Neurospora crassa OR74A: one gene and its partners. The protein of the gene in region 1 purifies or fractionates together with the protein of each later gene. This does not show direct contact. Links are inferred from orthologs where the notes say so. Each region holds a gene or a part of one and is shown in the gene's direction. Other genes may lie near its edges.

Region 1 (3,524 bases):
TGTTCCTTCACTGCCTTCCCTGTCTCGGGTTTGGGATTAATGGTCGCCGAGGCCACAAGGACATCAAGAATCAGTCTCAGGGCACGATGCGGGTCGTGTTCATACCACTCAAGGTAGAAATGGAACAGCTTCGTTGAGACGGGCTCGGTGAAGGCCCATTCCTTCAGCTTCTCGTCTTTGGCCTTGGCGCATTGCTGAACAAAGCTGCAGAGCCTTACGACATCGTGACCGTTGCCGTGATACTGGCGAGACTCAGAGGCATTGCTGAACAACTTGGCAAATACTGCCTGTGCGATGCTAACACGGGTGTTAGTGAATGTCTGTATATGTGTGATTGAGAACTTCTCACAAAGAATAACTGGACACTGAAGATATCCGAAAGAAAAGAAACCTACGCTGGGAGTGACTCGGTGGGTTGTGACAACAGCCACTTGGTGATGGTGTTGGCATTTTCAAACACTTCGGGGCCCAGTCCGGCTAGCAGAGCGTCCGTGTCAATGGTGCTGCTGCCGGGGGCATTTTGCTGGACTTGGGTTGACTCCATCCCCGCAGTCCAAAAGGGAAGTTATGATTGAGGGACCGGGTTTAGACGTGCATCCGAGACTTCGTTGCAGAGTGATGATGACTGGGAAAGGGAGGCAATAAAGAAGGAGCGAAGAGTGGTAAGTGCCTGACCGTCAATGAGCCCCCCAGTGAGAGTTAGTGAGGGCCTGAAGTTACTGTGATAGTAAGTAATCCACCTCTCTGCTGGGCACTCGTGTAAAGTATGAGCGACGAGTTGTGAAATTTTGGGATCTTCAAAGGCCTATAGCATCACCCACTGTGTGTTTACATCCACTGCGCATGTTCTGGGGGTGAATCCACTCCGGCCACCGTGCTTGTTTTGGGTCTGAAGTTGCCTGCCGCCATGTCAAGAGATACCCCTGCACTGTAGCAGTAAAAGAATCCCCACGAACGAACCGTCCCCGTAAAAGATCCAAAGGCGAAGAAGTCCTGAGAAAGCAGGAATGGGAACATGGAGAATCCGTTGAATATATCTGTTCAAGGCGTAGTCTAGCTTCAGATGCCCACGATGTACTGCAGTTGACCTTTCAATAAGGTCTTCTTCATTACAGCCTCGGTTGAGTTCCACTTCGCCATGTTGACATGTCCCCGAAATCAAAGCCCCAGAGCATGTATATACATATGTAGAGGTACATATGACGCCAATCGCTCGCACGGGCCATGCGGGCGCCATAGAGGTAAATTTTTTCGAAGTTCCGACGTTATCGGGGGCCAAGACAGGCGTCGGTCCAAGTTGCGCGTGAGCCGGAGCCAATTCGAGATCCCATCCGTCTCGCCCACCGACCCGTCCGTCACTCCCCCGAAGATACGATAGCTTACTCGTTTGCCGACGGCACCACCCACCCACCCTTCCCTCCGGCTACCCGTCACCACTCTTGCGCGCAGCAGTACGCGGTCTATCTGCTTCGTGTTCCCCAACTGCTTAACGATCCGATAACCCATCGAACCCCTCCACTTCAGTCACAATGTCCGGCCTTTGGAACACCCTCACCGGAGGCAACAAGAAGCAGCAAGAGCAGCAAGAGCCCGCCGCACCCGCCCCCAGCGCACCTCAGACAACCACCACCACCACCTCCGCTCCTTCATATCCCTCGCCCTTCGATGCTAGCCAGCCCCAAGGTGTCGAGGCCTTTCTCGGTAGCTCTTCCTTCGCCGACCCCACACAACTACACCCTCTTGCCGGCCTCAACAAGGAAACACTAGAATACATCTCGCTTGAGGATACCCCGCTGCCCGATGCCGCCGGCGCCTCAGTTCTGCCCTCGCGCGGCTTCACTGACGACCTCTGCTACGGAACCGGTATCACCTACCTGACGGCCCTCACTATCGGAGGCGCGTGGGGTTTGAAAGAGGGTCTCCAGAGATCGGCCGGCCAGCCGCCCAAGCTGCGCCTCAACTCCGTCCTTAACGCTGTCACCCGTCGCGGTCCCTACCTCGGCAACTCGGCTGGTGTTGTCGCCATCTGCTACAACCTAATCAACGCCGGCATTGGTTACGTGAGGGGCAAGCACGATGCCGCCAACTCAATCCTGGCCGGTGCGCTTAGTGGTATGCTCTTCAAGAGCACCAGGGGTCTGAAGCCCATGATGATCTCGGGTGGTATTGTTGCGACGATAGCCGGTACTTGGGCGGTATGTCACCATTTTTCGTATGGCAGGCGTAGACTGGAAATACACCTTGCTAACTTTACTGTGTCACTAGGTCGCCAGGAGGACGTTCTTCCCCTCCCCCCAGACCAACGAGGTTGACTGAAGTGGGGACGAAGAATGAAATAGGAAACAAAAAAAGTCATCTTCTGTTCCCTTCATCCCACGACTCTCTGGCCATCTATCGTTGCTCCATGAAAAGAGTGCATAGCTAGCCAGCCTTCTCTATTATTTTAATCTTCGAGAGAACTGACAGAAGAAAACCAGTGTCTTTCTCACCAGCACGGAAGACCACTGCGATGAAGATGTGTGTGTGTCCTTGGTTCAACACGGAGCAAAAGGGCAGCAGACACGAACTGGTGGATGTGTACGAACAAGAGAGGGAAGAACGAAAATAAAGCGACACTGGGCTGGGCAGGGCTTGAACAAGGCAGGACATGGAAGAGGGGCCAAAGGGCAGGGTGTGTGCATAGTGGTGCATAGCGCAAGGGTTAGTCTCATCTCTCTCCTCCCCGTGTGTGGAAAATTGTATGTATTATAGCGGATCATATGGACATAGAGCGCAATCGCCCTGGTTGGGCATATGGGGCATTGCGGCAGGCTTCATTCAAACTTTGAGTCTATTGCGGGTTGTACATGACTGTTGGCTCCGGGTTTTATGATAAGATAATAGAGAGGTAATGTTTGGTGTGGGATATATTGGGCATGTCACCCTGCCACACGTTGGTGTCGAAAATGACTGCAAGCAGGTGTGAGTTCAAAGTTCGAAGCGACTTAGGGGCAGGACTACGAATGAACATATCCACTCTCTTAGGATAAGGCCCATCTCCGACGAATTCCCTATTTGCCACAGAACTGGAAACCGTACGCACATTGTTCCTCGAGTATTCCCCATGCAAATCTTTGGCTTGAGAACAACAGGCAAGCACCAGTTTCAATACATGGAAGCAGAGAGATCAAGACAGGGAGGAAAATCAATTCTTCGATAACCGACAGACTAGTGAGCTACAAGTGGCAGTAACGATAATAACCTTGCTTGCCTCTTTATGCTAAGTCCCTCTACGAATCCCGTTATTGCTTTCTCTAAGATCGAAGACTAATAAAGCAAGTTTCCCATCCATATCTTTGGTTATAACAAGATCGAGCTAACATCATTTGGTTCCTGGTGTGGGATGCTGTTGCAAAAGGAGAAAGGCGAGCTCGACATGATCATATGTAACGTGTAATGTATCCCCACCTTCTTCCTAAACCACCATAGAAAGCCACTTGAAGAATATACAAAAACTCGATAGTATACCAACAGAACACTTTAGC
Region 2 (3,591 bases), on another chromosome or scaffold:
AACCGGCGCGAAGGGGTCGAGATGAACTGGTCGAGTGTCATGGCCTCCTTTTTCAATTGTTCTGGTAGACCAGCGGTATCCATCTCGTTTCGGATGATGTTGAGGTCGCCGCAGAGAAACACCTCTTTCCCCAAGGAGACAAGGTTACGAACTCTGGCATCCATGGCGTCGATGAAGGCCTGACGGAACTCGATCCTGGTCTCGTCTCGCGTGGCCGGGCTGTATACACCGATAAGAACAAAGGCAGGGAACTCCAAGATGACACACCTTCCTTCGGAGTCAAGTTGAGCTTCGTCTATGTCGCTGGAGAGTTGGCCGGGAGTGGGATAGCCACCAATCTGCTGATCAGCAGGCAAGTCGCGAAACTTTGTGGACGAGTTCGGCGGACACAGAACGCCAGTAATGCCTTCTTCGGCGCGTATCGGGCAACATTTCGAGGAACGAGTGTAGATTGCAACTCCCGAGTAGCCCTTCTTGTACGTGGGTAAGTTGAAGTACACATCCCAGCCAGGGACGAGGACCATGTCGTCTCTCAAATCCTTCCGCTGAATCTTGGTTTCCTGTATGACCACAATGTCGGCGTCCAAGGTGTCGAACATGGCCTTCACTGTGTTAGAGCATCCGGCCAGATAGGGCTTTTGAATAGGGAACTTGATCCCACCTGAAACGTGCGGTTCTCCCGCCATGGCTGGTAACTGAATGGGTTTCTTGAAGCAGGGTCAGAGCTGGTTCATAGGGACGGCTTGTCGTGTTAGGACCGACCTGATACCATTGACTACACATTGGTTTGAGTTAGACCAGGCAAAACGCAGCAAAAACGCGCAAGAGGATCTCACCATTCCACGTCGTGATCCGTAACCCCATTTTCAGATATTCCTTTACTGATGCTAAGGTAGCTCTCTAGATCTACCAGGTTTATAGCACAACAAAGTCACTTCGGTCGCCGGATGCGGCGCTTGTAATTGCAATGGCCACACGAGAAGCAGAGGGACATGGGCTGACGTCTTCGATGTTCGGCTTCGCATGAGCAAGAGCTTCAGGTCTCGGGAACAATTGATCTTTCCCTCACGTCGCTACATCGATCGATATTCCCAGTCTCTTGGAGTTTGCCACACCTTGCGGCAAACGACCAACGATGTCACTAGCTGCCAAGCCATCGCCAAGTAGTTCGCGGCGTCCACAAACGAACGATTGGCTCGTGCGGTTGAATTACGCAGGTGAATTGGGCGGTCCACACACGAAGTCACCTGACAGGCAGCTGCTTTCGTCATTCCGACTGCTCGCGCAACTCAAGCTTTCAACGGGAACGTGCACTTGGCACTGTGGCTTGATTTCGACTGTCTGTGCACTCCAGCCACACCCCATGAGCAGCCGCAACCCACGCACGCACCCGAGGTCGAACTGAGCAATGAGCTGATCGGTCTCTGACCTCACTCAGTTCGCACCCGGAGTCACGAGAAGCCGCCAAGCGCAGGAGGAAAAGAGTGGGGCCAGCTTGCTACAACCTTTGCTGCTGATTCCGCATCCACCTCGTTACCAGTCCTCCTCCGAACCACCTGTAGTCGACCACAACGAATACGGAAACCATGTTCGCCCAACGCCAGATGTTCTTCGCGCGCCTCGCCGCCAACCTTCGCGCCCCCGCGGTCCGCCAGACCGTCCAGCGCCGCTTCGCCAGCACCCCTGCCAACGAGTCCGGCAAGAACGCCTTCGTCCGCGAGCGTGAGGCCGTCAAGCAGCACGCCGCTGAGACCACCGGTGCGCACTAATCCACCACCCGCCCTTGTCAATTGCCGACCCCGATTATCGATGGACGGGAAATGCTAACCGGGAGTCGCCATATAGAGCTCTGGCGCAAGATCTCTCTCTAGTATGCGCATTTCCTCCCACCCCCCAAATCCCCGCTGCGTGGTTTTTCCCGGATGGACCCCTCGGACTCTGAAGGAATTGGAACTTCAGCTAGCTCAAATGAAGCTCCATCGAGCTCCGATCGGAGCCCGCCTTCAACGACGAGCGCATGACACCAACGTCATAGCCGACGTGCACCGCCGAGAAGACGAAGGGGATCAACAGTCAACATCTACGGAATGCTTGATTGAGTGGGGGACAGAAAAGGGGAATGGAACACAATAAGCTAACGAAACTCACCCTTTCTCCCAGCGGCATTCCCCCTGCCCTCGCCCTCGCCGGATACAACGCCTACACCCTCTACAACGAGCACTGGGAGCACTGGTCCCACCTCCCTCCCCTTGAGGAGCGCACCGAGTACCCCTACCAGAACATCCGCACCCGCAACTACCCCTGGGGCGATGGTGACAAGACTCTCTTGTACGTTTAACCCATCCGAAGCTCGCACAACCGGCGGGCATCTCTGCATGGCCTTTCTGAACGAAGGAGCTTTGAGCGTGTCGAGCCCGCCCCATCGAAGGAGCCTCATTCTATGGCAACAACTACTGACCGATACCAACTCTGTTTAGCTGGAACGAGTCTGTCAACTACCACAACCGCGACAAGGTCACGTAAGTGGCTTGTTGATGCGAGCTTCACAAGCACCATCTGTGCTCTTGCTTGCTAGACTGGCATCATCCCTGGATCATTGGAAAGCAAAGAGAATTGGGACAGCTAGCGTGTAGTGAGAGCAGGTGGCATGGGACTGTGAATGAAGTGTGGAAAAGAAAGAACAGGACGAGTGCTAGAGGCACCACCACGTCTACTGATCCGCAATCATCATATCAATTTATTTGTATTCTGATATCAGCCTTTGTAAAGGCTCGCATTGACATCCATATGATCTTATTCTTGATGGAAGCCCATGTGCAGGACGAAAACAGTGTTCTACTGCTATTGCTGGGGATCTCCATGAGACAAAGTGCAGTGAGCCTTCATAGCTTCCTTCCATTTCTACCAGGGGTATAAAGACACAAAACAAGGGGCACACATCCGCGCCATGTTCGATGAAATCAAACATCAACCTCTATGGCCAGCGACAATATTCTCCATTCCTCATCAAGTCATTACAACCGAACTGCTCCATAAAAACGTCCGACCGGAGCTTTACTGAGCCCCACCCAAACCATATTATGGCGTACCTGTATCTGTCGACCATACACTAGAATGCTCGCCCGACGAGCTCTGCCTCTTCAATGCCATATACCGCGCCGCATACTCCTCCGCTCGAGCATGATCCCCCAGCACTTTCATTAGCGTCGCCCTCTTCGCCAACGTCTCGCACTGCTTCTCCAGATCTTCCGCCGCAGAGAAGTGGTTGAACGCACACTCCAGCGCCTCGTGTGCCTTCGTAAAGAGGTCGATTTTTTTGTTGCTCATCAAGCTCGCCGCCGCTCCTGTTGTTTCTCCCGTCGTCGTCATCGCCTGCCTGGCCTTTGCAGCTTTTCCAGCCTGTCCCATCCTGGCATCCGCCAGGATACTATACAGTATGCCTGTGTTGAAAGCATTCTCCGACTCCATCGAGCGCGGCAGCACTGCTTCTACTAGCTGCACAGCGGCAGTGAACTCGCCCATCGCATTCAGTATGTTGGCCAGAGCGCCAACCGCCTGCCAGAGAAGGGTGAGCAGCCGCGCACGCCACGC
Region 3 (3,954 bases), on another chromosome or scaffold:
GCCGGGAGTCGTCGTCCTGCCAGTAGCAGCTGATCGATTACTCCTCGCGCTACGTCCTGCTGAGGGGGAGGCAGTGAGGTCATCAGCGCGATGTTGCTGGTCGCGAAGTCGAGAGGTAGGGGTTTTGACTGTCCGTTGGCTGCGTGGAGTGGCGGCGGTTGTTTGTTCTGCTTTTCTGGGGGTTCCACCGCCGCGGCCGGGGGTTGAAGAGGTGGAGGGGAGGATATTGGAGAGGTGGGAGCAGAGGCGCTTGTAGATGCGTGGTGGAATGGGAGGGCGGGGGTCGATGGGGGGGAGATTCAGGGTTATTTTGAGTCTGCGAGCATGTGTTAGTGTTGGTTTTGTATAGTCACAGACAAAAGGTGAAGTAAGGCTGAGACGAGATGAGATGTGAAGGCATGAGTCGAGATGATGAGATGCAGTATCGTACCTGTCACATGCCAGGTGGGCGCAGGCATAGGTGCGTGCAATCTCCTCTTCGGCTTTGAGTGTGCTTGCACGATGGCGGGATTGGGCGAGGAGTGAGCTGGCGAGATCGACGAGTGGTTGTGGGAGAGTCGTGTTGTGGGTTGGTAGAAGTGACAAGAGCGCCTGTTCTATAGAGCGATTCATCTTGGCTTCCACACTTTAGGAGGTGATTTGTTTACTTGTATTTTTTTTCTTCTTCAGATTCAGTAATGGAGGTGGTGATTTGTTGAGAAGTGAGCTTAATTTCAAAATAATGGCTGTATTTGTACTCCTGGTAGGCTAGGTATGTTTCGAACCTAACATGTGTATGAATAAGTTGTTTATGATTAAGTCAGTCCATGAGCCTCTCGAATCACAAAGTGAACAAACAGAACAGACCGAGTTTCGTGACGCGACGAGACTTTTCCTCGTGTAAGACGCCAAATCACGTGTCGAGACTGCGCTGTCGGCGCACCTGTTAGTGCATAATTGCTCCCTAGGTAACTAAGAACTACGTAACATTGTGGGGCAATGTGCGCACCGAGCTTTTAGTGTAGCAGTGCGGGAGGCCAGATGTCCAAAGTGGCGAGAACACTGACAGCGACTGACTCTGCGTTACAGAATAAGCGGCTGCCACCTGCCACGGCGGCATCAGCATTTAAGGCGGCACTATGGCCCTTGATCAGCTAATCAACTTGCTCACCCAACCGTTTCGTTCTCCGCCGCCGCCGCCGCGTCCACTCAGTTGCATCTGCTGCAGTCCGCCACTGAGTGACTGACTGGCACTGACTATTGTACTGTCATTTCCACCACCAACACTTTAGGTTTGCCCTGGTCATTGTGAGATCTCCGCTCCTTCGCATCCGTCTGTCGCAAACAGAGAGAGAGTGGGTGTAAACAATCCACCATGGCTTTCCACGCAAGTGGGCTGCCGGTAAGTCTTGCGCAATCCGTCTTTTAGACTAGCTAGTACCTTAAGTTGCCGTCCTCTTCCATGAAGCTGACCCCTCCGCGCGCCTGCCAGACCATCGCGGCGGCAACCACCGAGTTGTGGCCTTCCATCGCGACAACCCTGACCGTTCCCTTCGGGTTACCGACCTCTCTTAAGGCGCAACAACGGCTTTCCTACAACTCGAACGTCTCGACAGCATCTTCGAACGCCTCCCGCACCCTTGCTAGCTCCCCCGCGCGCGAAGCTTCCAGCTCCTCGGCGCTGCCCGCCTTCCTGAGAACTGCGCCTCTACCCCAGCCCGTTGTCTCTCAGGGTCTAGCAAATGCTTCGCCTACAAACATCTTTTCGGAAATCTCAAGCATGTCTTCCCGCCAGCTCGCCATGGCGAACCCCCTCTTCCGGCGCTCGTTTTCGGCGCTCATGTCGAGGCCCCTGGGCACTGTCAACACCCTTCGGTCCATGAGCACCCACCAGCCCGGTCGCATTCCGTCCTTCTTCCGCTCGCCAGTACACTCTTCTCTCGGTTTCACTCTCCAGGTCCGCAGCTTTGGAAACGGTGGTCTCTCGCACAACCTCCTGGCTGCTCGCGAGGCCGCTGCCAACCAGTTCCCAACCAGCGCCGGTGCTCAGTATGCTTTCTACCAGGCTCTTCTCAAGGCGAACATGCCTGCTATCATTATCGAAAGGTATCAGTCTGGACGTTTCGCCACGAACGAGCAGGTAGACCAGATCTACCAGCAAGCCCTTGCCATGTCTACCGGTCAACCCTACACGCCTGCGAACAACACCGTCGATAACAATGGCTATCACCCCTCCGGTTTCACCGCTAGCCAGATCCATGCCGCTGGTACTGCCGCTGCTGCTCAGCATACTGGTGGAAACATGGCCATGGTCAAGCCGATCGCTGCTGGTGCCAAGACGGGTCCTCTGCATATCGTAGTTGACGAAAGTTTCGGAAGCTCCGCTCTCAGATGGGTCAAGTTTCTCATGTGGTTCACTCTCTTCACGTATCTCAGCATGGTCGTCATCACAATGGTTTTCGAGGGCTTGAGCAGCATCAAGCGCCCCGGTGGCAAGCTTGAGGCCAGCGAGGTCAAGCCTGAGAACCAGAAGGCTCGCTTTGCTGATGTCCACGGCTGTGATGAGGCCAAGGAAGAGCTTCAGGAACTTATCGACTTTTTGCGCAACCCTGAGAAGTACTCGACTCTTGGCGGCAAGCTCCCCAAGGGCGTGTTGCTCGTGGGACCCCCCGGTACTGGTAAAACTCTTTTGGCTCGTGCTGTCGCCGGCGAAGCTGGCGTTCCCTTCTTCAACATGTCCGGTTCCGAGTTTGAAGAGGTCTACGTTGGCGTTGGCGCAAAGCGTGTTCGTGATCTCTTTGCCGCCGCCAAGGCCAAGGCTCCCTCAATTGTTTTCATCGACGAACTTGATGCTATTGGTGGCCGGCGTAACTCCAGGGACGCTACCTACGTACGTCAGACTCTCAACCAGCTTCTTACCGAGTTGGACGGTTTCGAGCAAAACAGTGGTGTAATCATCATCGGCGCCACCAACTTCCCCGAGTCCCTTGACAAGGCGCTTACCCGCCCCGGCCGCTTCGATCGCAATGTTGTTGTCTCTCTTCCCGATGTCCGCGGCCGTATGGCCATTCTCCAGCACCACGCCAAGCGCATCAAGGCTGCTGCCGATGTCAACCTGGAGGCTATTGCTTCCAGAACTTCTGGTCTTTCTGGTGCCGAGCTGGAGAACATTGTCAACCAGGCTGCTATTCACGCCAGCAAGTTGAAGGCTCAGGCTGTTACTCAAAAGGATTTCGAATGGGCAAAGGACAAGGTCATCATGGGTGCTGAGAAGCGTAGTATGGTTATCACAGCCAAGGAAAAGGAGATGACTGCCTATCATGAGGCTGGTCACGCCCTCGTCGGATATTACGCCAAGGACAGCGCAAGCTCGCTTTACAAGGTCACCATTCTTCCACGTGGCCAGACTCTTGGCCACACTGCCTACCTCCCTGAGATGGACAAGCACTCGTTTACTGTCAGGGATTACTTGGGTATGATTGACCGTGCCATGGGCGGCAAGGTCGCTGAGGAGATTGTCTATGGTAACGAGCTTGTGACTAGCGGTGTTAGCGCTGTACGTTCTCCCCTCCCCTTGTTCCACTTGATTAGACGAGTTAACTAACATGGCATTCAGGATCTTGACATGGCCACCAGAACCGCCTGGCAGATGGTTGCTCAGCTCGGCATGTCTGAGAAGCTCGGCCCCGTTGAGTACCTCCGCAAGTACAACCAGCTCAGCTCCGAGACCAGGGCGATGGTTGAGTCCGAGGTGAAGAGAGTTCTGGACGAATCGTACGAGCGTGCGCGTAACCTGCTCACCTCCAAGAGGAACGAACTCGACTACTTGGCCAAGGCGCTCGTCGAGTACGAGACACTGGACAAGAAGGAAGTTGAGAGGGTGATTCGGGGAGAGAAGTTGAAGGATCGCATCTCGGTGCCGCCAGGGCCTATGGCTATTCCCAAGCCCAGCGACACCCTGGAGCCGGGCCTGCC
Region 4 (3,854 bases), on another chromosome or scaffold:
CAAAACCGGAGGGGAGAAGTCCGAAGCCCCCAAGTTGGTAGAGTGCGCGAGACACAGGCATTCTGCGTGGGCAACGGCCGTGGCTCACGTTGAGGGCGAGTCTTGGCTTGAAGCTGATGCCAATGGCAATCTGATCGTGCTTCAACGCAATGCTGAGGGCGTGACAGTGGAGGACCAGCGGCAACTGAGGATAACAAGCGAGCTCAACCTGGGAGAACAGGTGAACAAAATACGCCCGATCAAGGTCGAGACTAGCCCGAACGCCATCATCATTCCTCGAGCGTTCTTGGCCACGGTAAGTTGCCTGTTTCTCAGATTGATCATGTCACAAGGTCAAGGCTAACAATTGACTTGATAAAACAGGCGGAAGGCGGTATTTACATGTTTGGTACGATTGCGCGCGAACAAGACCTCTTACTTCGGTTCCAGGATAAACTGGCGGCGGTGATCAAGACAGTTGGCGAACTCGATTTCAACTCCTACAGGGCATTCCGCAATGCGGAAAGGGGGCCCGAGGCAGATGGAACGACTGGGCCGGTCAGGTTCCTGGATGGGGAGTTGCTGGAGAGGTTTTTGGATGTGGATGAGAAGACGCAGAAGGAGATCTGCGAAGGTCTTGGGCCGAGCGTTGAGCAGATGCGCAATATGGTAGAGGAGCTACGGAGGATGCACTGAGCCAACGGTTAGACACTTAACGTGCATGATTGGATGTCTACAAGTCATCGCTTTGGCTGCTGAAGATTTTGGCAGTTGCAAGTGTTGTCAATAAGTGCTGTGCTCAAAACATGGCTGCATAGGGTGAGAGAAGATGAGTCTGTGAATAGCCTCAGATGAACGAATGAATTATGTATGATCAATAGATCAATTGACATCACTGTCTTGGCACCCTTGGCTCGCCGAGTCGCTGACAGTTCAAGTTGTCCGGGCGCTGCGGTGACGCGCTGAGGTGAGCCCCACCACCACCATCACCACCACCAACAGGACGAACCAGGCGACGGAAGAAACCGGAGAGTGGACGAACAGGCAGTCACAGCCAATCAGGGCCGGCGCATTAAGTAGCTCTCTAGCTGCTGGGCGGACGCTGTGGTTGGTTAGTGCCTCAGGCCACAAGCCAGTAGCTATGGCGGTTTCCCATGCCGGGAAAGGTGGGAACCAAGCTCGGCCCAGAAAAACCTCAGTCCGTGATTTTGGCCTCGTCGTCTCGACCGCATTACGCAGCCGTCAATTCCGTCTCCGGAACACCGCCCACGTCCACCGTCCTCCCGCGACTCCGAAAGAGCAGAACCTCGCTCGATCTCCCCGCTCTCGCAACCCCCTCTCTCCGCTCCGACCTCTGTCCACGCGAGTAATTCTACCGACACAATGGCGCCCGTCTCGATCGTTTCCCGCGCCGCCATGCGCGCCGCTGCCGCCCCCGCCCGGGCCGTTCGCGCTCTCACCACCTCGACTGCCCTCCAGGGTTCCTCGTCCTCCACCTTCGAGAGCCCCTTCAAGGGCGAGAGCAAGGCCGCCAAGGTCCCCGACTTCGGCAAATACATGAGCAAGGCGCCCCCCAGCACCAACATGCTCTTCTCCTACTTCATGGTCGGCACCATGGGCGCCATCACCGCCGCCGGCGCCAAGTCCACCATCCAGGGTGAGTCTTGACTTGATGGGATTTGAGGAGGAAGCTTCACACATTCCTCGAGGTTGGGGAAAACAAAGAGGTGGCATAGGACAGATGGGTTCGGGTCAATGGGATTCGACAAGGGGGTTCTGTTATGGTGGGGCGAGCTATCTACGGTTCCGTCTCATCGATCACCAATTTGCGACCACTATGACAACTTTCGATATCGGGGCGGATATGGTTGGACCTTGGGGCGATGTTGAAGCATGGATACATGGGGAAAATGCCATCTTGCACATGCACCCACGAACACCCAAGAACTAAAGACAGCTGACGAGGCGACCGTGTTATACAGAGTTCCTCAAGAACATGTCGGCTTCCGCTGATGTCTTGGCCATGGCCAAGGTTGAGGTTGACCTCAACGCCATCCCCGAGGGCAAGAACGTAAGGATCCCTACGAAACCGGATTAGCAAAGGCTTGGGCTGAGCTGAGCTGGGCACATCGATTCCCGACGACGATCAAACCATGATGGAATGCTGACCCCGGTCTTTTCCTACTTTTACAGGTCATCATCAAGTGGCGTGGCAAGCCCGTCTTCATCCGTCACCGTACCCCTGCGGAGATCGAAGAGGCCAACAAGGTCAACGTTGCCACCCTCCGTGACCCCGAGACCGACGCCGACCGTGTCAAGAAGCCCGAGTGGCTCGTCATGCTTGGTACGCCCCTCCATGTCCCTCTTTGCGATCCGAACAAGACGAAGGATAGCATTTTTGGATGCTCAGATCCTGGATACACGACGATGTGGGGAGACTGACATTTGGTGTGTGAACAAAACAGGCGTCTGCACCCACTTGGGTTGCGTTCCCATCGGCGAGGCCGGTGACTACGGTGGCTGGTTCTGCCCTTGCCACGGTTCTCACTACGATATCTCTGGCCGTATCAGGAAAGGACCTGCCCCTCTGAACCTCGAGATCCCTCTCTACGAGTTCCCTGAGGAGGGCAAGCTTGTCATTGGTTAAGCGAGCAAAAAGACAAAACTTTCCGATTGAACAAACAAGACACAATTTTTAACCAAACCTACTAGGGAATCCTCTCGATATTCCCTTGTCCACTTTTTTTTTCCCTTGCTGCCCGAGAGACGATGACAGGGAGAATTGTATTAGTACGGGGGTATTGCGACAAAGGGCTTGAGTGGAAGCATGTCATAGACCATAAAACGGGATTTTTGTTTTCCGTGGTTCTTGACGCGGTTTCGTACGACTATCCTATAGACAGAAGACACACATACGCATACACAACAGCAAATCAGGTGTCACGGTCGATCATATGCGCTCGAGAGTCGGAAACTTCTATATACTCAGAACTGCGTTCTTCACCTACGCAACCCTACATACCTATTATTGGTGCTGAGCTTGGCGCTAGGTTGCTGCTGAGTGTTGTACCCTTGCGTTTTCCTATAGACTGGCTTTGTAGAAAATCCTATTGTATGAGAGGCTCACTGGAGCATGGTACCGTGAGAAGGTCTTCCTCGACCCATGGCAGTCGGCTGTGGCTAAGAGCTTTGTGAGGAAACCATAGGTCAGCTGATGAACCTCCCAATGCTAACGCATCTGATCATCCAACACGGCATTGGTAAATACAAATGGCCTTTTATGCGGGTGTGGGACAGACAGGCTACATGTCGAATTGCTGGAGAGCAGCTCGACCAGAATTACAGATGTTGACAACTTAATCTTAGCTTGGCCAACCTTGCGAATCAAGCCCAGTCGGTATACCCGCCCGTGCTACTCTGGTAGCTGAGTTAAGGAAACGCCCGCGAACCGGTAGCTTACCCTGGTTGTTTCATTGACGTCTGAGGAATTCTCCGAACGTAATTATATCTGAAGCCCGCCTTAACATCTTGTGCGCTACTCAAGCCGACACATAGTTAGTGCACTACCTCCAACCATAGCCCCTTGCCAATGCTGGCCGGGTGGGTTGCAGTCTCATTGCAGGGGCTAGGTTGTACCCCCATGCGCTCCCCCTTGCTCTGAGTCTTTTTCCCCCACAAACAAAACAACCTCATCTTTTGAACTTCGCCTTCCCGGGCGCGTCTTGACACAGCTTTCTCACTTCTTCACCAAATTCTCGAAACCCCTCACCCTTGCGGCTCAAAGGGGCTGCTCCTAGGGTCATGTAACAAGCGAAGTTCCATCGTTCGTCTGATCTGACTTGCCGACTACCCGAGGCACCATGGCGGCCACGATT

What was found. Proteins that work in one complex are often made in the same cells at the same time.
Region 2: the proteins of tim23 (region 1) and eat-5 purify together in Saccharomyces cerevisiae (affinity purification with mass spectrometry; 3 studies listed by BioGRID, with this or other methods). This does not show direct contact. The link is inferred for Neurospora crassa OR74A from reciprocal best matches to the Saccharomyces cerevisiae genes TIM23 and COX13.
Region 3: the proteins of tim23 (region 1) and iap-1 purify together in Saccharomyces cerevisiae (affinity purification with mass spectrometry; 3 studies listed by BioGRID, with this or other methods). This does not show direct contact. The link is inferred for Neurospora crassa OR74A from reciprocal best matches to the Saccharomyces cerevisiae genes TIM23 and YME1.
Region 4: the proteins of tim23 (region 1) and fes-1 purify together in Saccharomyces cerevisiae (affinity purification with western blotting; 3 studies listed by BioGRID, with this or other methods). This does not show direct contact. The link is inferred for Neurospora crassa OR74A from reciprocal best matches to the Saccharomyces cerevisiae genes TIM23 and RIP1.

What each region holds. Positions count from the first base shown.
Region 1 is NC_026503.1:3,607,791-3,611,314, reverse strand, and holds tim23 (mitochondrial import inner membrane translocase subunit tim23), read left to right. Parts: upstream 1-1,283; 5' UTR 1,284-1,529; coding exon 1,530-2,195; intron 2,196-2,265; coding exon 2,266-2,316; 3' UTR 2,317-3,024; downstream 3,025-3,524. Other genes in the region: NCU00372 (hypothetical protein), read right to left, coding at 1-297, 396-544. UniProt on the Saccharomyces cerevisiae protein: Essential component of the TIM23 complex, a complex that mediates the translocation of transit peptide-containing proteins across the mitochondrial inner membrane.
Region 2 is NC_026501.1:1,850,572-1,854,162, reverse strand, and holds eat-5 (encodes anonymous transcript-5 protein), read left to right. Parts: upstream 1-1,390; 5' UTR 1,391-1,586; coding exon 1,587-1,758; exon of another isoform or gene 1,759-1,820; coding exon of another isoform or gene 1,821-1,845; coding exon 1,846-1,870; intron 1,871-2,160; coding exon 2,161-2,328; intron 2,329-2,477; coding exon 2,478-2,523; 3' UTR 2,524-3,078; downstream 3,079-3,591. Other genes in the region: NCU01961 (DNA lyase Apn2), read right to left, coding at 1-602, 662-707, 763-775, 837-864; eat-6 (anaphase-promoting complex subunit Apc5), read right to left, coding at 3,079-3,591. UniProt on the Saccharomyces cerevisiae protein: Component of the cytochrome c oxidase, the last enzyme in the mitochondrial electron transport chain which drives oxidative phosphorylation.
Region 3 is NC_026502.1:979,497-983,450, reverse strand, and holds the start of iap-1 (intermembrane space AAA protease IAP-1), read left to right. Parts: upstream 1-1,154; 5' UTR 1,155-1,354; coding exon 1,355-1,381; intron 1,382-1,471; coding exon 1,472-3,535; intron 3,536-3,595; coding exon 3,596-3,954. Other genes in the region: NCU10376 (hypothetical protein), read right to left, coding at 1-316, 431-612. UniProt on the Saccharomyces cerevisiae protein: Catalytic subunit of the mitochondrial inner membrane i-AAA protease supercomplex required for mitochondrial inner membrane protein turnover. The protease is probably ATP-dependent. Important to maintain the integrity of the mitochondrial compartment.
Region 4 is NC_026504.1:1,785,251-1,789,104, forward strand, and holds fes-1 (ubiquinol-cytochrome c reductase iron-sulfur subunit), read left to right. Parts: upstream 1-1,155; 5' UTR 1,156-1,362; coding exon 1,363-1,636; intron 1,637-1,961; coding exon 1,962-2,050; intron 2,051-2,172; coding exon 2,173-2,323; intron 2,324-2,444; coding exon 2,445-2,626; 3' UTR 2,627-3,354; downstream 3,355-3,854. Other genes in the region: dim-8 (DNA damage-binding protein 1), read left to right, coding at 1-295, 364-675. UniProt on the Saccharomyces cerevisiae protein: Component of the ubiquinol-cytochrome c oxidoreductase, a multisubunit transmembrane complex that is part of the mitochondrial electron transport chain which drives oxidative phosphorylation.